3 linked regions of the Pelodiscus sinensis genome follow. The protein of the gene in region 1 purifies or fractionates together with the protein of each later gene. This does not show direct contact. Links are inferred from orthologs where the notes say so. Each region holds a gene or a part of one and is shown in the gene's direction. Other genes may lie near its edges. The genes, in order: CCAAT/enhancer-binding protein beta, ATF2 and ATF3.

Region 1 (7,089 bases):
TCTTGCCTTTTACATTGCAACACTGTGACTGAATCTGCCTCTTACTATATGTCTGTACAGTGCCCAGTACAGTGGAGCCCTGATCTCACTGAGAACTCTAATGACTAATTGCAATGCAAGTAATAAAGAACAAGGTAACAATTTGCAGTGGGAAGTATTTGGAGTTTTTATACAAATGCAGTCCGACTCTTACTACAGAGCAGTAAATAGTGACATTTTGGTAGGCAGAACTTCCTATGAACTCTTCACTCTTTGATCTGTTGGCATTATACAGTTGTGGTCTGTCCAACGCTGACAGCAGCTCTTTCTGGACTGTAGAAAGATATGGGAATGCAGAATTGGAGATCTTGGAACCACTGTAAATCAAGATAGAGCAAGTCTCTGAGTGAAAAGTTTCTGCAATGCTTTGGCATGGATCTGAGCTTGGGAAAACATGGATCTGAGCTTGGGAAACCAGGTGCTCCTGTGATGCTACAGTAGAGCTGTGAATCAGGGAGCAGAATCCAAGATAGGCTGGGAAAACCAGAGGCTGTGTCTACACTGGCCACTTATTCTGGAAAATCAGCCGCTGTTCCGGAATAATTTGCCAGCTGTCTACACTGGCCCCTTGAATTTCCGGAAAAGCACTGACGATCTACTGTAAAATCATCAGTGCTTTTCCAGAAAAACCATGCTTCTCCCGTTCGGGCAAAAGTCCTTTTCTGGAAAACTGTTCCAGAAAAGGGTCAGTGTAGATAGCACAGATTTCTTTTCCACAAAAAAGCCCCGATCGCGAAAATGACAATCGGGGCTTTTTTGCGGAAAAGCGCGTCTACATTAGCACGGACACTTTTCCAGAAAAAGTGCTTTTCCGGAAAAGCATCCTGCCAATGTAGACACGCTTTTCCCGGAAAGACTTATAATGGAAAACTGTTCCGTTTTAAGCATTTCCGGAAAAGGGTGCCAGTGTAGACGTAGCCAGAGTGATCTCTGTAAAACAGATCGGAATAGGCTGTGTTCTCTTTGTCTTTTTTCTTTTATATTCATTTTGTTTCACTCTTTCGCTGTTTGCATCCATCTTCTTCAAACAAAGCAGTGAGAACTTGTGTTTTATTGCATTAGAAATAGCTGGTTGGGAATTGGGGGTCATTCTTTCTTTCTTTCTTTCTTTCTTTCTTTCTTTCTTTCTTTCTTTCTTTCTTTCTTCTCTCAAAAATGACTTATTTTGAACAAAAAAAAAAAAAAAGAATAAAATTCAGGCCTTCCCCATCCCCACAACAAAAAATATTCTAAACAAGCAGACATTTACTTCAAAAAATGTCTTCTTGTCAGTAACCCAGTTTTCTTTCAAAAATGTTTTCAAAAACTTTTTTGGATGAGCCTTAATAAAAAGTGCTGCAACTTTCACTTTCATCTTGGAGAAAAAACCAGAGCTCAGCACCCTCTAATAGGAGCATCTACTTCTCAATACCTGCATAGAACAGCTTTCTAGAGCAAAAACTCCTGAAGAGCATGAAAACACAGAATGTGAATATAAATAACCATAAAAGCAGCCCTGGCTCACTGCAACTTACCAATATTTCCATTGTGTAGAGATGTTTGGATCTATACAGATATAGGCTCAAGTCACAACATTCAGATCCAGACCTGAATCCAGGATTCTTTGTCCAAGCTCGGCTCTACAACTAAGGCTAGGTCTAGACTACAGTCCTTTGTTGGAAAAAGCTACGCAATTTTTTTTCCGATCACTTTTCCGGAAGCGGCTTTTCTGCCATTTGGCCCAGTCCAGATGGGGCCAAATGGTAGAAAAGCCTCCTCTTTTGGTGGATCCCTTATCCCTTATAGAACGAGGTATTCAGGGTTCCCTGAAAGAGAGCATTTGCTCTTCTGCAAAAGAAGGTGGAAGAGCAAACACATTCCTCGGACGTGGCAGAGTTTTTCTGAGGTATCCCAGAAACCCCCCGCAGTGTAGACATACCCTAAATGTGCTTATTAGTAAATGTAATTCACCAAAAACTACTGCATAAAGACAGAAATATTGGAAGTCTACAAACCTTTTAGTGTACCTTTGCTATTGAAGTTGAAAGAAAGAAAGAAAGAAAGAAAGAAAGAAAGAAAGAAAGAAAGAAAGAAAGAAAGAAAGAAAGAAAGAAAGAAAGAAAGAAAGAAAGAAAGAAAGAAAGAAAGAAAGAAAGAAAGAAAGAAAGAAAGAAAGAAAATGGTTCATAGCATGATTTTTGAATTCTTCCTCTTTTCAAAGTCTGAGGTTTGAACATTCATGAACAGTTGACTGTTTGAATTGTATAATGCAATACCTGTTCCTCTGGCTTAACGTTGCAATATTTCCCACACCGCAGGATTGCTTCACATTATTCTATGAGGCAGTGTCATTTTCTCTGCAGTACTGGGTCTTCTTTACTGAAATGAAGGACACTCCTACTTCCTTTAATTATATGTTTTGTTTTAAATTGATGTCTTTTATTCTGAGCATGAATCACCAGCTTGTATACAGGTAAATGTGGGAGTAACAGGGAAAATGTAAGTTTGATTCCCAAAGTGGGTATCTTTAATTAAAATAGGCATAAAAATTTATTCTTACAAATTTACCATGGCCTCTCCAAATCAATGCTACTGTATACATTAATATATTAATAAATCATTGCATCCTGTCCCTTGACACAAATATATCTCACTTTCCCCCATTTATTTTAAATACAGTTCCTTAAATGTGGGAGTAACAGGGAAAATGCAAGTTTGATTCCCAAAGTGGGTGTCTTTAATTAAAATAGGCATAAAAATGTATTCTTACAAATTTACCATTGCCTCTCCAAGTCAATGCTACTTTATACATTAATATATTAATAAATCATTGCATCCTGTCCCTTGACACAAATATATCTCACTTTCCCCCGTTTATTTTAAAGACAGCTGCAAGAGCACAAACTCCATATCACTTGTGTACTCTGACAATTGCAACATACTACATAAGGCAAACACGCCAGGCCAAACATTAAGGCCGTCAGCCCTGCACACAGAGGTGATGGGGGAGTTTTGGATTTGCCTACCATTTCTAATTGCTGGTCTTCTTCTGAGGCAGTGCCTTACCCTGGTTTGCGCCCAATACCACATGCTTTTTACACCCACTGTGGCAAGCTAGTTCTGAATGTGTCTGTATGGGATAATTCTGCTTGCCAGCTCCATAAAATTCACAGAGCATTGAATTGGTATTAAGATCTGGCTTCTATTCCTGGCTCTACCTCTGATTTGCTAAGTTATCTTGGGCAAATCCCTTAACCTCTGTGCCTTAATTTCCCCGTATGTAAAATGGGGATACAGACACTCACCCACCTCAGTAAAACAGGTTGAGACCTACAGACGAAATCTACAGATATCATAAGCCTTAGATGCAATGGATCCAGCTCCTACTGGCCTTTGCTAGCCACATCTGGCCATTTGCTAGTCCCACAGCTGGACACCCAGTGGTTTGCATTGGGGAAGCAGGGGAAAGAGGCTGAAATCTGGGGAAGAAGGATGGGGGGGAAGGGAATCTGGTATCTGCTTTTCCCCCTCCTCTCTGAGGACATATTAGATGGGAGGAGAGGGGCAAAAGGGTTTAGTCCATATTGATACATGGGCAGATGCAACGTCCCCCTGTGTGAGCTACTGTGTCCATGTCGGAAGGTCCCATCAGGAGTGATTATAGTCCAGTGACATCGCCTGTAGATGTGACAGCAGCTGGCAAAAGTATAAGGCGGTTTTCCCTGTCTCTGGCCCAAATCTTCCCTCCCTTCCTTGAGGGTGAAAACGAGCCCCCTCGGCTGCGACGCCTGCCCTGCTTCCCCGGTGAATGACGAGGTCAGAGTCCCACACGCCAAGTGCCTCCTGCGGAGCGAGAGGCACTCGGTACAACTGTACAAAGTGTGCACCATGTGGCAGCCAGCCAGCCAGTGACGTCCCTGTTGCCATGGGATCCACCGCCCCTATAAATAACAGCAAAGGAACTTTCCTAAGTCAGAGACTTTAGGACTCGGACCTAGAACCAGATGGTCCGGAGAAAGAGAAGCAGCCGCCGCCGGATCTGAGCCAGCCCAGGTGGGCAGCACAGCCCAGAGACCGAGGCAGGATTTGGAGGCCCCCGCATCACCTTCGGCAGCTTGATCCCGCGGCTGGGGGGCCCCCTGCGCTGTCTCCTCCTCCCTGCACTCCCCTTTGCTTTCATGCAACGCCTGGTGGCCTGGGACCCAGCATGCCTCCCTATCCAGCCACCCGCCTTTAAATCCATGGAAGTAGCTAATTTCTACTACGAGGCGGACTGTCTGGCTGCGCTGAGCAAGCTGCACCCGCGGGCGGCAGGGGGCCGCTCCATGACCGAGCTCACCGTAGGGGACCACGAGAGAGCCATCGACTTCAGCCCTTACCTGGACCCCTTAGCAGCATCCCAGGCGCCGCCGCCGCAGCCTCCGCCTGCAGCAGCAGCAGGGGGCAACTTTGAGCCTCCCTGCAGCAGCGGCGCCAGCCAAGATTTCCTCTCCGACCTCTTCGCCGAGGACTATAAAGGCGGCGGCAAGAAGCCCGACTTCACCTACATCAGCCTGGCCAGGCACTGCCATCCGGGCGCCGGCCAGGCCCATAAGCCGGGCGGGCTGCTGCCCTGCTTCCCGTCCCAGATCGTGGAGACCAAAGTGGAGCCGGTCTTCGAGTCCCTGGACTCTTGCAAAGGGTCCCTGAAGGAAGAAGGGGGCGCCAGGCCGGGCGCAGGGGGCATGTCCTCCCCTTACGGCAGCACCATGCGCTCCTACCTCGGTTACCAGTCGGTGCCAAACGGCAGCAGCGGCAACCTGTCCACCTCGTCCTCTTCCAGCCCCCCCGGCACCCCCAACCCGTCCGATTCCTCCAAGTCCGGCGGCGGAGCGGGCTACGCCGGGCCGCTGGGCTCCAAGAACAAGAGCAAGAAGAGCGTGGACAAGCACAGCGAGGAGTACAAGCTTCGCCGGGAGCGGAACAACATCGCGGTGCGCAAGAGCCGGGACAAAGCCAAAATGCGCAACCTGGAGACGCAGCACAAAGTCTTGGAACTGACCGCCGAGAACGAGCGGCTGCAAAAGAAAGTGGAGCAGCTCTCCCGGGAGCTGAGCACCCTCAGGAACTTGTTCAAACAGCTGCCCGAGCCCCTGCTGGCCACGTCGGGCCACTGCTAGCCCCTGCGCTGGACACTGCTAGAGCCGCAGTGGTTGGGGTTGGAGGGGGAGAAACTGGGGAGGAAGGATGGGGGAGGGGGCGGTCTGGTAGCTGCTTTCCCCCCTCTATGAGGACAGATTGGACCGGGGCTGGGGAAGACACGGGGAGAGACTTAAAGGTTTGGTTTGTTGTTTTTTTGTCTTTTTTTTTTCTTTGCAATCCGGTGGAAGAAACTTCCGCCGCAGCCTGAGTGTTGGTCCTAGGAGGGGGACTCCCCTGGCGGGCGCCAGGGCCCTCCGCATCTTGTGGCGGAATGACAGTTGCCGATGGTAATTTTTTTGTAATGTTACAACCCCACCGAGGCACCCTTCCCCTTCCTCTGTCTGTGCAGAGTTTGTTGAATGTTCGTGTTATTTAAAACAGAGCGAGAGAAAAAGCAGAGAATGATGCAACCCTTTAAACATGGCTGGGAATGCTGCGTACACATGATGCAATCTCGTGTAACTGTCAGTCATGGATTGAGTAATCTGTTAAAGATGTTCCTGCGGTTTTTTTTATTATAAAGAATAATTCTATTTCTATACGAAAATACATATGTATATTTTGGGATCTATAGACATTCTTGCTACATTTGAAGCATTAATGAACAATTTTAATAAACTTTATGGCTAGGAAAAAAGAAAGAAAGGAAACTTGTTTTATTTTAAAGGCACTTTAACGCCAGAATGAAATCAGTTCAAATGCCAGCTAGATCTGGCTGTGTCAGGAATCATTTTGTTGGCCTTTTGACTCTCTCTGTGACTCAGCAAAAAAGAAAAAAAAATGAGAGAACCAGAGAAGACCAGATGTGGGAACCACAGCCAGTTCCCTCTTGCTGCCTCACTTAATTTCCTCTAACCCCTTGAGTTAAATTCTGCTTGGGTTTTTCTGAAATACTAATAACTCTCCCCATTCAAACCATGAAAAATGTTTGACAAAGTCTCTCCAAGCAAAGGACAAGATTAAAGCAGGGGAGAGGTTGGAGGAAAGAAAAAGAGAAGGAGAAAGCTTGAAATAAGGTGGGATTTTTCTTTAAAGCTCAAGTTTTTGTAGTCTCTCAGTTTCATGACTCAGTATTTCTGATGCTGGGGGTTTTACAGCAATGAACAGTGATAACATGTCATTTTTGTGTTGGATGGCTGTGAACTGGGGACCTCTCACATAACTAGGCTCAGTGAGAAATGTGTGGACAATGCTCCCTATAATTTCCTACTGAGCCTTCTTTTTAAAAACTGTTTCTAAAAAATGCTGCTGATACAGTTGAGTTCTTGAAAGGTGAGTGCGGTGGTGATGGTAGTGAATGGGTCAGGTGTGTGGTTTGGGTAAAAGGTTGGGTATAGGAGGATGTATGTATAGAGCCCTAAGGACTTTGTGACAAAGATAACAGAGGCTCTGCTAGCAGATGTGGGATTTGTCGAGGTCTGTGAGTTGCACATGTCTTGGCTCTCTGTAGTTTGCTTTTGTGTACCTGCCTGTAAAATATTATTTTACAGCCTAGAGCTGATTACGTGCTGGGAGTTGGATACATGTTCAGGTCTTATTCAGCATTTTCCAGCATACTAGACAGACTCTATGCACATCCATCTTCTAAATCCAGATGTCAAAAACTACCAGGAAAGAACTTTCTTAATCCTTCTATAGCTGTACTTTACAGTAGGATGCAAATGTTCTGTTTCCTTAATGGTAATGGATCTGAACTTGTTTTATGCTTTACTGTAAAGGATAGTGATTGGGAATGGGTGTGGAGCAGCCTTGAATTTGGTGTTTACGGATATTGATTTTACTCAAAAATATGTAGTATAACGAGGGAGTTGTTTTTAATTTTCAGTTGCAGTCTTATCTGGGCAGGGAAAACTAGAGTCTGCAGTGGAGTTAATCAAGTAAATTCTTTGT
Region 2 (7,985 bases), on another chromosome or scaffold:
TTTAACAGAACTCTTGGAAAAAATATGGCTCTAAGGGTGTTTTTAACAAGGTTTTTTTTTTTTAATTTGTATTGCTGTAGTTAAAAATCTCACAACAAATGATCTGGTAGTACTTCATAGACTAACAAAACATGTAGATGGCATCATGAGGTTTTGTGGGCACAGCCCACTTCTTCAGATGACCAGAATGGACTGCCTACGAAAGCTCATGATGCCATCTACATGTTTTTTAGTCTATGAAGTGCTACCAGACTATTTGTTGTTTTTTTCTGTACAAACTTAACTCAGCTACCCCCTGAAGCTTAAGAATCCCAGTCATGTCTTAAGACCTCATTGTGTGAAGCACTTTACACACTGAAAAAAAACAGTCCTGGGTCTGCTGTTATTTAAAGGGTTCTTTTGGTGGACCCATACATAACATTACCAAACATGCTTGCAGACACTTCTCATGCATCTCCTGTTCTTTTTTCTGTGATAATGATTATACAACTAATTGGAGAGACAAGATGGGGGAAGTGAGATCTTTTATTGTGCCAACCTCTGCTGTTGAAAGACAAGCTTTTGCACTTTATTCAGAGCTCTTCTTCATGTCTGGGGAAAGTATTCACAGTATCACAGCTAAATACAAGATGGACAGATTGTTTAGCATCACAAATGTTGTAATGCACCCATGCAAGGTGAAGTTGGAGGATTAACACTTATGTAGTCAGAGGACAAAGAAGGAGGATTGGGTGAATTATAGATTGAATGTATGGCTCATGTAAAACACTGTCTTTACTGAGTCCATGATTTTTAGTCTAACAAAGTTGTGAGTTTAAGCTCCCATGTTTGTGTTTTGAAGATGATGCACAGATTTCCTTTGAGGATGAGGACTGAGAGGTCAGATAATTCACTAATTGACAAACTGGAAAAAAATCATTTTATTCTTTATTCTCAGAGGAATTTTAGCTGCTACATTTGTATCTACGAAAGTTAAATGTTTCAGATGGAAATACGATTTGAGTCGACATTGTCTGACCCATTATGGAATACTTACTGTCACTTAATGATCAACAAGCCTCAGATACGTCAATTAAATGTGAAATATAGATTCAATTTTTACGTGTAATTGAGCTATTGCTTTAGGTATAATTAAAATAAAAATTTACATAACTAAAGGAAACAGTTAAAATTTATAGCAATACTTTTTTGCTGCATTGTTTAAGGACATAAACATTCTAGTTCAAAAAGACAAACTTGTAAAGAAAGATCCTTTTGTTTTCCCCATTACATTTTAGGCATAAGGTTGCCGGATGGTTTCAACAAAAATTGTGACATTAAATCACAATCTACATTACATCTTATTTAGAAAATACTGGACATTTATATTTTCTCAATTTGTTTCCCGAACAGAAAGCTCAAATACTGGACTCTCCAGTTCAAAACCGGATACCAGCCAGCCCTATTTAGGCATTGTAGTCTTGAGGAAATTTCATTGCCCTGTTAACTGTGAGACTCACTAATATTAATTGGATTCAGGTGACCATGTGGACTACACTTTGTTCTGCTGATAACACTAACATTTTGTTATATATATAATTTGCAGTCCAAGTATTTGTAAAACTTATGACTGCATTTTGAAGAGCTAAAAATATATCTACCACTTCAGTGTAGCAATAAGCAATGTTTAAATTACATAACATTTTCCTGCTTCGTTTATAAAACTTTCCTTGCTGTCTTGGATCAGCCACAAAGATGCTTTTAGTACTGTAGTTGCTGGAATTTTCTAATTAAAATTCAAAATGTTTTAGCTAACATTTTGTATTTTATTTAAAAGGACATTGTCAACTTAAAAATCACCGCAGTCTAATTTTGAACATCACAAGTTGTTAGAGCTCGGTCATACAGAACAATGACAATTGAGTGTTACACGTGGGCAGTTGCACTCAGTGTACATCAATACTGATGATGATGCTGGTGTAACCCTGAAATGTAGCGATTTCTGGGTACATTCCCTGTGGTTCATTTTCATAGAATACAAGGTATTTAGCAACTTTGTCTGACCCCTATGGAGATTGTTGACAGAAGTGACCTAGTCCCTCAAAATTGCCAGGAACCAAACTGGCCAATAAGTGAAAAAACTTGGAGCAATGCTGAGAGTGATCACATACATTTAAGGCTGTGTCTAGACTGGCATGATTTTGCGGAAATACTTTTAACGGAAGAGTTTTTCCATAAAAAGTATTACCACAAAAAAGCGTCTAGATTGGCACGGATGTTTTTGCGCAAAAGCATCCGTGCCCAGTATAGACGCACTTTTGCGCAAGAAAGCTCTGATGGCCATTTTAGCCATCGGGTTTTCTTGCACAAAAAATTAAGGTGCCTGTCTACACTGGCCCTCTTGCGCAAGTATTCTTGCGCAAGAGGGCTTATCCTTGAGCGGGAGTGTCAAAGTATTTGTGCAAGAAGCACTGAATTCTTACATTAGAACGTCAGTGCTCTTGTGCAAATTCAAGCTGCCAGTGTAGATATCTGGCAAGTTTTTGTGCAAAAGCACTCGCTTTTGCACAAAATCTTGCCAGTCTAGACGCACCCATAATGACTAACGATTATATTTAAAAGCATGGAAAATACAAATTCAATAATTATAAAGTTTTTCTAGTTATAATTCAGAAAATACTCCTTGTGTGTCAGTAGGTAAGAATGATATGAGGATAAGGCCTGCACATGAAAATTTCTAAATTCTTCCTTGTCAGAATTTTCATAAGGCATAATGAAATTATTATATAGTTTGGTATTCCAGATCCCTACCAGTTTTGAAGTGTAATTTTTGTACATAATTGTCATATGTTTATACATTTGTTTTATTTAGTCATTCAGTGGTCATTTTGCTTCTTGAGCATGCCTTAGCTAATTTTTACAACTATACCATGTTGTAAATAAAGGCTCTGAACATTGTTTTTTTGGTTTAACAAATGACTGCAACTTTTATTAGTTTACTCCAAACCCCTGCAATAAGAATATTTATATATCCAAAACCATGCCCTTCTACCTATTAGTAAAAGTTGAGCAACGCAACTCTTGCTTTCCTGCCACAATGGACTCAGAACCAAATTGTATCCAAGATACTCTTCCAGATAACATTGGGAATTGGTCCAAATTAAAATGTGATTTGTCCGGCAGTACGCCTACCTCGCTTCTCAGTGTTAAAGCATCTGCTCATTCAAATGCTCACACTGTAACATGACTTCACTTCTACCTCTGTGCATTAAGTTAGGATAACCTCTGGGCATGATTACACACTATAATTTCAATAGACAACCTGCCAAGTAATCCTGAATTACTTCAATCTGCTATTATGAGATAGTATCTAACTTTGGATCACTTATCCATGCTGAATAAGCTTAACCAGAAGACTTATCCTGTTCCTTTTTAATGGATCACTCTTTTCTAAATAAGAGGATAAGGGATCTTTCAGAAAAGGCTTTATTTTCCGAAAGATCCGCGTCTAGACTGGCGCTTTTTTCTGGCAAAGCTCCGTGCTGAAAAAAGCGGCAGCCATTTTTATGCTAATGAAGCAGGGGAGATTTAAATCCCCGCTTCATTAGCAATTGCAATACGTCTAATTTGCATCCCTTTTACGAAAAAGGGATGCAATCTAGACGTAGCCTTACTGTACAGATTTTTCCAGTGGCACACATCTGTGGCAGTCTTCGGTCTCTGATCCACCTTTGTCTCTCCTCTTCTGTCTGTTCTTACCTCCTGTCCCCACAGAACAAATTATCTCTTGGCGCTAATGGCTATGAAAGAAAAGTGGTATAGTTGGAACAAGGGTGTTGGCTTGGTATACTTTCTGGCTACGTCTACACTGGCATGATTTTCCGGAAATGCTTTTAACAGAAAAGTTTTCCGTTAAAAGCATTTTCGCAAAAGCGCATCTAGATTGGCAGGAAGCTTTTCTGTAAAAGCACTTTTTGCGGAAAAGCATCCGTGGCCAATCTAGACGCGCTTTTCCGCAAAAAGCCCCAATCGCCATTTTTGCGATCGGGGCTTTTTTGCGGAAACGAAATCTCTGCTGTCTACACTGGCCCTTTTACGCAAAAGTGTTTCAGAAAAAGACTTTTGCCCAAACGGGAGCAGCATAGTATTTCCGCAAAAGCACTGACAATCTTACATGAGATCGTCAGTGCTTTTGCGGAAATTCAAGTGGCCAGGGTAGACAGATGGCAAGTTTTTCCACAAAAGCAGATGATTTTGCGGAAAAACTTGCCAGTCTAGACACAGCCTCTACAGTCAAGAGTTTTGAGAACCACTTAACAAACCCTGTTTATGATGGAAACCACTTCTAGCACTCCCAGCATCTATTATTTGGAAAGTATAAGATCCCCATTGCTTCCTGCTCTGAGCCTTTCAAGCCCAATGAGCAATCACAAATTATTTTACATTTATATAAAGCTCCTACTATAATCTTTATCCCACAGGGTCTCAAAGAACAACCGTTGTTTGCAGTGTTGCTGCCCTTGTGTTAGGCCCAGGATAGTAGAGAGTTAACGTGAGTGGGGTAACACTAATTAACATAATTCATTTGTATTATCATAGCCCCGATGAGCCTCAGTCAGGGACCCACCCGGACCCCACTGTGCTGCCAGGGCTGTACACAGAACAAAATGACGGCCCCTGCCCCCAAAGACAATGCACTTTGAATTACCACAAAACGGTCACGAGGTCGATTTTAAATCTCCTCTGTCATGCCCCTCCTCCCCCGCATTATCTTCCGTTCTAACCCGGACGCGGGAGCAGCCCTGGGCCAGTCGTTAGAGACGCGGCGCTAACGTTGCCCTTCCAGCCGCTCGACTTTGAGAAGACCAGCTTAGCAAAACGCCACCTACAGGCGTCCATCCCCGCCCCCACAATTGAGCGCTTCCGGCCAACCAGACACTAGAGGGCCCCACCCTGCAAACCAATCAGGGGCCTTCTCTATGCTACCGCCAGCTGCAACTCCCGTGGATCACGTGACCCCTTTCCCTCGGCCTGGGGAGGGGGGGATGCCAGTGAGTTATCGCGAGAAGGGACGGAAGCCTATGGGGGACCCGGCCTTTAATGTGCGGTTCGGCCCCTCTCCCCGGGTGAGTTTGTAAACAGAGCGCGGCGAAGGGCAGCGCCTCTGGCGCGTTGTAACGGGGTGTTGTGGGTAGCGGCGCCTCGGCCCTAGCGGGCGAGGGAAGGGGGCGGCGTGGGCCGGGCCGGGCTGGGCTGGGCTAAGTGGGGGTGCCCGGGAGGTATTAACATGGCGCCGCCGCTCTCCACGGAGACCCCCGCCTGTGGCCCCCGCCACCCTTAGAGCCGCGGGGTTCGGGCCGGAGCCAGCGCGCAGGAGACTGTTACCCGCCCCCGAGGTAGGCTGGTCCCTGCGGCTGCCCCAAGGAGGGGGCTGGGGAGCAGGGCGAGGCTTCTTCCCCGGAAGCGGGCTGCCCTGATAGATACAGCCGGCTCCCACCCGTCCCCGGGGGCGCTGGGGGCGCTCTCCCCTGCAAGGGTAAAGTGGGCCTGCCCCTTCCCCTGCTGCGACGGGACCGAGCCAAAGGAGAAGCGGGAAGGTTCCTCTCTTCGCCTGTGACTGCCTGAGAGTAGAGAGGGGCGGGTGGAGGGAGAGGAGACCCAGGTGCCCTCAGCAAGTGCTAAAAGGGGAGGGCAGAGCCAGAGAGGGGGCTGTCGCTCTGTTGCCCGTAAGTGCCGATGCGATTGTGTGGCCTGTACCTACTTCCAGCCTGGCCTGGGTTGTAGTGCTCTGCTGGGGCACATCACCATTGTGACTGTGTTGAGTGGGAGCTCGACACTGTGCTGCCAATTGTAGGTATTTTCTTTAGGGTCCTCTCAATAACCTTTCACTTATTGTGGCCCATTTTGGAGGACTCTTTATGAGAGGCAGAGCTGATGCCCAGACATTCAAAGCATGATAGTTATATTGAAGGTTGTGAACATCTTCCCTGAGGGGCCCATCTCTTGCCTCAGGATTGTTCACTATTGTAGGTACTAGGAACTTAATGTGTTGTCATGTCCACTCCCACCACCTAGTAAATTTATTTTACAATTTGCAATCTTTTGGTTTCCCTCACACAAAATAATACTGTCTTTGCAAATGAAATGAGTTGGGATACTCTTGTATCTCATGTAATTTGGATGCCTTTTCTCTCTCCCCCCCCCCCCCCAAAAAAGTAAATTCTATGCTTATCTTTTTCTCCAAATAATTGAATTCTGAGCTTTTTGTTTTCTATCTTCCATCCTTTCCCTGCCTTTAGTAAAATCTTTATTCCCTTTATATCCTAGTCAATGAATCTTGGATTTAGTTTGGGACAACAGCAGAAGCAATTTCTGAGTGCAAGAGTTTAGGCAGATTAAAATAGCCATTTTTGTGTCTACTGAGAATATCCACATTTAGTTTAGATAAGGTAAAAAGGTATAAGATTCAAATTATGCTCGATGGCTGTGGTTTTCAGCCTGTGGTCCATGGACTCCTGCGGGGGCGTGGGGAACTGCAAACCATGTCTAAAATTTCCAAAGAGCTCTGTGCTTCCATTTGAAATATTTTAGGAGGGGAAAACAGCTATTGCTTTAGAGTATAAGACAACCAGTAGCAGCTGGGGGGGAACCCTGTGGACAGGTGTTTCCATAATTGTGAAATGCAAGACTTTTTTTAAACCTTTCTCTGAAGTATCTGGTAGTGGCTGCTATTAGAGGCCCAATAGTGCAGACACTTATGCATAAATTTAACTTTACTTCATTACTGGTAGTAGCTCAATTATTTAAAGCAAGTGTTTGCGGAACTAGAACCAGAGAAGAAGTTACTGGATTAGGTAGAATAATGCTCTAATCTCTTAGTTATAAAATCTACTAAAGCGCCATGAAAATAACACTTAGCATATTTCAAAGGGCCTTTTTGCAATGAGTGAACTTGAACAAAAAAAATCTAAAACATTATTGGGGCTTATTGTTACATTAAAGGTTACTGTCAGAAATTTACATTAATAAAAATGCATTTTGTGCAGGAGGGTAGGAAACCTATTTATCATTTTATATTTGGGTAGTTAAAGTTGTACATTAATATTTTGATCTTCATTGCACACACAATGTCTTTACTCAGACTTAGAGGTTGGTAAGTTTAATTTTGTTGATATCTGTAGTCTTCACTAGGCATTTTATAACTATACAGATTCTGCCATGTATCCTCCTTTTTACTCAGAAATTTTTATCTTATTTGATTATATTAAATCTTTATGGGTTCACTGCTGCTCCCACACAGTTTGTTCTTGGATAGGATATGCCCAGATAATACTGTATTCCATTAACTTTTGACATTTGGCCATGTTTCTGATGTGCCTGTTATGTCAAGATTTAATTCCATTTTTAGCCATTGTAGTTCATCTTTTTTTTGTCTGTGGATATTTGTGATCACAAATAAAAGCCATGTGCCAATCTTTATCTATTTCATGATATGTATTGCTTTTCTGAAATTTAATCTGAACTCGTCCTAGTATGCTTCCATTTTCAAAAAATGTTTATCAAATTCCCATTTGTAAAGAACCCATTGAAGACTTTCATTGTGACAAGCATAATATGATGATACTTCCTGAAGTCAAGTTGTGTGCATTAGCTAGCTTATTTAACTGCATCATCTTATTACAGTGACCCTGTAGTCTCTTCAACCATTCCGTGTTGCTTGATACTTTCTCTTGCTATGTCTTGTCTTAAATTACACTGTAAGCCCTTGTAGGCAGGTACTGCTTTCTTGCATCTTGGTACACATAGGTCCATGTTCCTCCTTGGAGCTATGGGATGTTACTGGTGTGTGTGTGTGTGTGTGTGTGTGTACACCAAATATAGAGTTTCATGGTATCGGACACTGTTAACTTACACTTCTATTAGGGATATTAAAGACTAGTCAACTAGCTGACTATCCGATAAGCAAATGCTTATCAGATAGTCAATTGACTAGTCAATGTCCGCCC
Region 3 (7,348 bases), on another chromosome or scaffold:
CCGCCGCCCGTGAGATCCGGGGCGAGAGAAGCCCTGTTCGTAAGTGCGGATCCGATGTAAGTCGGGGACTGCCTGTACAGTATTGGAACAGAAATACACTATATAGGGGAAATCATAGCAAAATGACAGCCTAGCATACTCTAGAATAGCTCTTCTAAAGAGCCCAGTTCTGTGATGGCTTTACATTGCTGTAGCCCCGCTGAGTTCAACAGAGTTGTTCTTCAGTTGCATGTGGAAGGGAGAGGAAAATTAGGTCTTTTATGTTTATAGTAATATCAAAACTTAACAGTAGCAAAGCCACAAAAGACTCAGGAAATCAGATTTCATCTAAGAAGTCATTAAGCAGGACTGATATTTAGGAAAGTAAATTTTATATATTTATATTTCATGAGGCCTGTGATACCAGAGGAAATCATAGGTAATACCACTGCTTAATGAAGCTTCTCCACCAGAAACAACAAATGAGAGATCAGAATTGGGTCCCAGATTATATATCTTTTCTCTGGCAGATATCCTACAGCTCCATACGTTTAATAGAAGAGGGAATGCAGAAAGCTTTTGCTAAGAGGATTTGAGCCTTATTGCTTAGCTATGTTACTGGTGGCCATATTTATGTTTTACTGATATGGACACTGAAAATGAAGTGTGGAGGTGGGAGAAGCAGGATTTGGGCCAGAAGATGGTGAATGAAAGAATCCTTTTCCCTGTGCCAATTCAGGATGGAGATTTTCTGAGAGTCCACAATAACAGAGCAGCAGGTTATGAGTTAGTGTAATTGCTCTTTGTAGAAATACCCAGTGAGTAATGCTATAAATGCTTTGGTGATCATATACTGTACCTAGATCAAGACTTAGCGGCTACATCTAGACTGGCATGATTTTCCGCAAATGCTTTTAACAGAAAAGTTTTCCGTTAAAAGCATTTGCGGAAAAGAGTGTCTAGGTTGGCCCGGACACTTTTCTGCAAAAGCACTTTTTGCGGAAAAGCGTCCGTGCCAATCTAGACGCGCTTTTGCGCAAAACAAATCTGAGCTGTCTACACTGGCCCTTTTGCACAAAAGCTTTGCGCAAAAGGACTTTTGCCCGAACGGGAGCAGCATAGTATTTCCGCAAGAAGCACTGATTTCAGACAGTAGGAAGTCAGTGTTCTTGTGGAAATTCAAGTGGCCAGTGTAGACATCTGGCAAGTTTTTTCTGCAAAAGCAGCTGCTTTTGTGGAAAAACTTGCCAGTCTAGATACAGCCAGCAATAATAATTAAAACTGACTTCAGCTCACTGAAACTATTACTGTTTCAGTCAGATTGATCCCTGCGTTTTCTGGTAACACTAGAGAAAGGAAACCTAAGAGGATCAGGGAATATTCAGATAAAGGAAGGTGGAAAATATTTGTGAACAGTTGAAAAGCAAAACTACCAAAAGTATTTAAGCATCTTGTGGATCTATTGTTTGCTTTAACATCCTCACATTCTTGATGGATATATCAGTTCATATTAAGTTGAAACCAGAACAAACCCTACATCTTTGCTGTCTGAGGTCAAGGAGAATTTGACATTGAAGTAAATAGGAACAGGGTGGGGCCCTGTATGTTAATGAAACAAAGTGCAAAACTTTGGTTTCATTTTTATTATAGTTTCATTTTCTTCTGACTGAGGAATTTCATGCCATGATAGTGTACAGAACACTAACTTTAAAACATGCATATTTTCTCCCTCTATGTTTATTCTAAGGGGAGGAGCTCTCTCATATCAATAATTTAATACATAACATACCTATTTTATGGTCAACAGCATTTTTCATATTAAACATATTTCCTTGCCAATGATGATAGTAGAAGTAATGAAGCTGCATGAAGCAAAAGTATCGGTCTGCTTAGTATTATATTATACCTGTGAAACACTGATCATGACCATTTTTAGTGACACTTAAAACAGGTTAACAATATTTATCTTTGTTAGGTGTTTCTCACCAATCTGAAAGATGAAGTAATGTATTTAATCTTCCAAATTGCCTCATTTGTGTGACTTTGTTCAATTTAATTAAAAATGTTCAAAATAAAATTCCATCGATAATACAAGTAGGTAAACAATTCTGGGTAGTTGCTGAAGTTTCTGTATTACACTCAAGGTAATGTAGCAAAATAGCTTCCCATAATAACTCCATGTTTCCAGAACTTTCCACAACATTTACATTTTGGGATGAAATTCTCCATGTTTACCTTCTGTCTTTTTGTGAGACTGAGCAAAGTCCTTCCAGCTATTTTTGGATGTGGCATGAGTGAAAAAAATACCCCTTTGCTGTATAAACAATTTAACTACAAGGCTACTTTAGAAAACAGCTGAAGTTTGAAGCTTGAAACTAGTCATAGACAAGTCCCCAGTCCCCAAGAAAGAGTAATTTTTGTTGTTGTTGTTAGTAAAATAATTGCAAAAATAAAATTGGATTTACAAAAATAAAACCTTGTGAAGGGTGTAAACTGGCTGAGATATTTACAGTTCCTGCAGATGTGTACTTAAAGAGGGGTGACAACTATATGAGTGCACAGTTAGGTTGTGTGCAGCAACTGATGTTTTAGAACTTGCAAGGGATCTAAAACTGAACAAATAACTGGAATAAAGAATTTGGCATTAGAATCTATAAATCCAATTATACCAGGTCAGGGTGTTACAAGGAACAAATGTACCTACACACTGCAAAGATGATCTAAAGTATGCAAGCCAGATTTTCTCTGTCTAACCCCACCCCATTCTCCTTAAAAAGTAGGAAATTAAATGCAAAATGCCATTGTTAATGAAGTGTTTAAATTTGTGAAATGAAGCCATGCAAAAGTCATGACATTTACAATTTTAAAGTTATCAATGTTAGATTATCCCCAATGCACATAGATAGCCCCTTATTAAATGCAGACCTTAAAGTAGTACTCTTGCGTGTTAATACATTGTATGTATTTACTGATGTATATCATAATATGCATACACACTCAGTACACAAAGTGGCTGAATTAACATGGCTTGAATGCCTGAGTTTACAAGTTAAAGTTGTGTTCATGCTATTTTTGTATGTATATGTAAGTATAATGTTGTGTATATGTGTGCGTGTCTTCGTGAATACTGAAGTGCATTAAATTATATCTTAACTTTGTTTCGTGGCTGTTAGAAAATAAAGTAGGATGTGAACTGAAAAAAGGAAAACCTTCTCCTCCCCGTAAGGCTTCAGTCTTTCTCCTCCCTGAAGCCAGAAGGATGTTAGTTGCTATGTTTTAAAAAGGCTATTTTTTTAACTCCCTGATGTATCAGGAAAGGGGGTCTTTAATCTTTCCGGCTAAAAATTAACGTCAGCCCACTCAGTTTGTGCACTGACCATTTAGGGGCTCTGCAATCGGGGAAGCACATCGCTGTGACGAAGCTCATATTTTCAATTCTTTTGCAAGCTTCAAAAACTAGCGCAAAGAGGGTTTTGCTTTTCTGAATAAAAAGCCCCTCTCGCCCACACCCCCGATTCCTAAGAAAGCCTGGGAAGATGCGGAATAACACACGCCCCGTGCCGAAGCGCCCGAGGAAGCACGTTCCCGCCGCACGGGGGAAGGGAATGGAGAAGTGAATCTTCTCTAGAAATCATGATCGGACAGTTTTTGGAGGGGAAGCTACCTGGGCTTTCTGCCCTTTCCAAAAGGACCTCGAGTCTCTCAGTGAAATGCCCTCCCCTCCGAGGGCTACGGCCCTTCTCTCCTCGCACACCTCAGCTAAATCTCCAGTGGGGACGAAAACTTCCAAGAAGGCGCGAGAGGCACCGGCGCGGATTGTGGCAGTGTCAACGCGCGAGCCCCACGCTGCTCCCCTTGCACAGGGGCAGCCCAGCAAGGCTGGCGCTCGTACACACCCTGTTCACACACACAGCGGCGCGGTAGCAGGGAGGCTAAAGGGCCGCACAAATGCCTGATGCACAATTGCACGTTCCCCCCCTACACACGGAGAGATCGGATGGGGGATTTTCCAGCCGTTAAATGGCTACAGAATCCAAGCCTTTCCCAAAGGAGCCCTTCAACGGACCAGTTCTACCCCTAATTCCGCCTGTCTGTCATTGCCATCCCGGCGCCGCAGGCTGCCAGCGATTCGCAGTCACGCAGGTAGCTTGGTCTCCATTGGCTCCGCAGGGTGACACGCAGCTGCCGGAGTTAACATCTGGCGGCGCGCCCAGGCGGCAGCAGTCCTCTTATGGGGCGTGTGCGTTCCAGCCAGCTCCCTGGCTCCTCCTCCCGGCCGGGACCGGGAGCGTCTTGCATCACCGCCCGGTGCGCGCTGCTCCCCCGCCTCCTCCGGCCCGGCTATTAATAGCATGACATCAGCCAGGCGCTCGCCGCCAGAGTAAATACCAGCGCTGCCCACTCGCCTATATAAGGAGGGTGATGCAACCCCTCGCACAGGCAGATTCAGGCGCGTCCGGGGAAGGAGGCTCTGCTCTCCTATCGGCGAACTCGGAACTGCCCGGCAGCGGCGCCCCCAGCCCGAGAGACGCGGGCAGCCCCTGCTTTCAGCGCGGGCTCGCTCCTCGCTGCGCTCGGCCCCTCTGTGCTTGTCCCGGCAGCGGAGAGGCGCCGTGAGAAGCGGCGGGGAAAGGTCAGTGAGCTGGGGAAGGGAGGCGGGCGGGCGGCGGCGAGGAGACCGCGACTCAGTCAGCTGGTTCTCCCGGGAGCGTCGGCACTTTGCTAAGCGACTGATCCCAGCCAGGGGACAGGGTCTGCCCGGGCCAGTCGGGCGGGCTGGCGGCTTTGCGATCGGATCGTCCGCAGAGCCACAAGTGAAAGCAAAAGCTCGCTGGGCAGAGCGGCGTTTCTGAGTCCTGGAGCCACGCGCACCAAAGAGACCCCCCCCCCCTTCTGCCGCTTGGGAGCCTGGCACGCGCCCTGCCCCCGGGCACGGCTCGGGAGCCCCCTGTGACACCGAACAAGTTCTCACAGGAGTCCGAGCCCCCCTTGCGCGTCACCGGCCGGAGCCTTGGGCTTTATCAGTCGAGCCCGGAGCGGCACTTGTGGAGCGGGGCAGATGTCGCATCTGGCCACCCCCTTCTTCCGGGCGGCGAGTTTGCCGATGTGAGCGCCCGCAGTTGCTCTCTTGGCTGCTTCATTCGTTTCTCTTGGGCCGGGGTAGCGCCGGAGGCCACGGGGAGGAGGGGGGGGGGGCGCATCGCTCGACAGTAAGAGCGCGGCTCTGCTTGTCGGCGGGACGCCCATCGCTCCTGAGCTGCTGCCAAAGTTTTGCCAAAGTAATGTAGAGAAAAAAGTTAGTGACGAAGCTCAAGGCACCCTCTGACTTCTGTAATGAGGTAACGGCGATGACTGTGTCGGTTGAGATGAAGGATACACATAACTCCCAAATGAAGCTCTTTTCCTTTGTTATTTTGGGGGAACAGTGACCTCTTTTGATTAGAGTACACACAGACAAGAAGTCATGTCATCCTGCGAGGGGATGAAGAATTAGCGAGAAAGTCACTATTAGACAATAATCGTCGTTTTTTCTCCACTGACGACTAACCCGAACAAGATCAGTTGCTGAACTGTTGCCTAACTAGGATTGAGTGACGACGCAACAGAAAACTGTTACACACAGAACCAGTTTCCTGTGTGAAATCGATTTTCTTGGTAGTAACAACAGCAGAGACGTTCGAAGCCTGAAAAAGAGGTAGTTATGATCTGGAATGTCAGAATCCTAAAGGCCAATTTGAGTACACAGAGGTTGTGAACGGTAATTGCCCTTTAATGCCCTGTCAGATTAACCTGTTTGGCTCTCATCGTTTATTACGTCAGCAGCCGAGGAAAATGAATTTATCTAGGGAAATACAGCTAAGTCATCTGCAGTTAAACCAAATGGAAGCTAGGAGTGAGGGTGCCCTGAAGTGTTAATTATTAATATTAGCATTAAACTTGAGCACACTTTAAATAACATAAATGCTAGTTTGGACTTCCAAGAATGTGTCCTGACACAACTTCTCAGAATGGGAGAGGGGAAAACTAAAAGCAGTGGGGAAATTATTAATAAAATAACTATAAATGGAAGGAAGCATTAGTTTTGAAAATTATCTCTGAATAACTAGCAATGTATCCTGTCTGTTATAGAAACAAAACTGTCTAATGGGATCTTATTTGTAAAACTTATTATTTTGTCTTGATCATAAGATTCTGATGGAGGAGTGAGCACTTGCTCCAGGGATGAATTGAGCCTCTGTGGTCCTATTCTGTGGGGTGTTCAGCACCTCCATCTTCCACTTCAGTGAAAGATAAAGATGTTCAGCACCTTACCAAGTGGGATCTATGTAGTTGTATGGACTTGTAGTTAAACAGAAAGGCCTAGATGTCATTTTTTTTCTTGGGTTAATTATAGAGCAAGTCCAATTGTGTTAGTGCTTTACAAAGTGAACCAGGTCCTTGACCCAAATAACTTATAGCCTTAGATAATTTATAGGAAAATGACTGGGGAAAAAAGGATGCAAAACAAAATGTTTAACTTTTGCTTGTTCTATCTTGAATAAAAAATGTTTCTAACCAGAGGATGATATCAACATTACAATTTTATATCTATTTACCAAGTATACATCTAGCATTCTGTACTTCTGATGTAGTCTACCCAGAAGTGATGTCAGTGATTAACTAGTGGCTGGGCTGGAGCAACTTCTCGCCCACCTGTGGTGCAGTGCGGTAGGCCCAGCTGGACTAGCCCCCAGCCTCAGGCAGGCTGCAGCTCAGCCTGGCCCGCCATGCTGTGGGCGGTGGATGCTCCATCCAGCTGAAGCAGCCTCCACCTGAAGTAGGCCCTGACCACAGTCTCTGTACTTCTGATATGGTTCTGATTTATCATTATTTGTATTCTCATAGTGTCTGGAACCCCATGGAGCAGAACCCTACTGGGCTAGGCACTATACAAACAAGACAAAAAGACAGTCTCTGTCCCAAAAGAGCTTACAAAACAGGTCACCAAAACCAAAAAAGTTGAAAGTAGCAGCAAAATCCACCAAAGAAAAACTAACCCAAAACAATATTCCCACAAACCTACCTGCCCACAATCTTCAGCCCCTTCATGAATAGCAGTGTCTTTCAGGATGTTGGAAGGTCAGGAGACTTGGGCAATTTCAGGCCAAGGGGAAGTGCAAGTTCTGAAGTCAAGGGTGACTGTAGAAAACAGTCTCCCATTACTCTTAAATCATGGAGACATCAGTAAAAGCAAATAAAGTTATAAAAGGGATTCTAGCAAAATTTTGTTGCTAGTGGATATTTGAAAATAACTCCTCCAATTACTAATGAAAATCCAGCATGGACAATATTTCTCATGATATTTTCCATTAAAACTGTGAACATTCTT

Evidence for each region.
Region 2: the proteins of CCAAT/enhancer-binding protein beta (region 1) and ATF2 purify together in Homo sapiens (affinity purification with western blotting; 3 studies listed by BioGRID and IntAct, with this or other methods). This does not show direct contact. The link is inferred for Pelodiscus sinensis from reciprocal best matches to the Homo sapiens genes CEBPB and ATF2.
Region 3: the proteins of CCAAT/enhancer-binding protein beta (region 1) and ATF3 purify together in Homo sapiens (affinity purification with western blotting; 3 studies listed by BioGRID and IntAct, with this or other methods). This does not show direct contact. The link is inferred for Pelodiscus sinensis from reciprocal best matches to the Homo sapiens genes CEBPB and ATF3.

Annotation. Positions count from the first base shown.
Region 1 is NC_134728.1:19,311,863-19,318,951, reverse strand, and holds the start of CCAAT/enhancer-binding protein beta, read left to right. Parts: upstream 1-3,995; 5' UTR 3,996-4,196; coding exon 4,197-5,177; 3' UTR 5,178-6,215; intron 6,216-7,089. UniProt on the Homo sapiens protein: Important transcription factor regulating the expression of genes involved in immune and inflammatory responses. Also plays a significant role in adipogenesis, as well as in the gluconeogenic pathway, liver regeneration, and hematopoiesis.
Region 2 is NC_134717.1:44,025,648-44,033,632, reverse strand, and holds the start of ATF2 (cyclic AMP-dependent transcription factor ATF-2), read left to right. Parts: upstream 1-4,980; 5' UTR 4,981-5,105; intron 5,106-5,112; exon of another isoform or gene 5,113-5,375; intron 5,376-7,985. UniProt on the Homo sapiens protein: Transcriptional activator which regulates the transcription of various genes, including those involved in anti-apoptosis, cell growth, and DNA damage response.
Region 3 is NC_134713.1:147,438,051-147,445,398, forward strand, and holds the start of ATF3 (cyclic AMP-dependent transcription factor ATF-3), read left to right. Parts: upstream 1-4,319; 5' UTR 4,320-4,612; intron 4,613-4,625; exon of another isoform or gene 4,626-5,674; intron 5,675-7,348.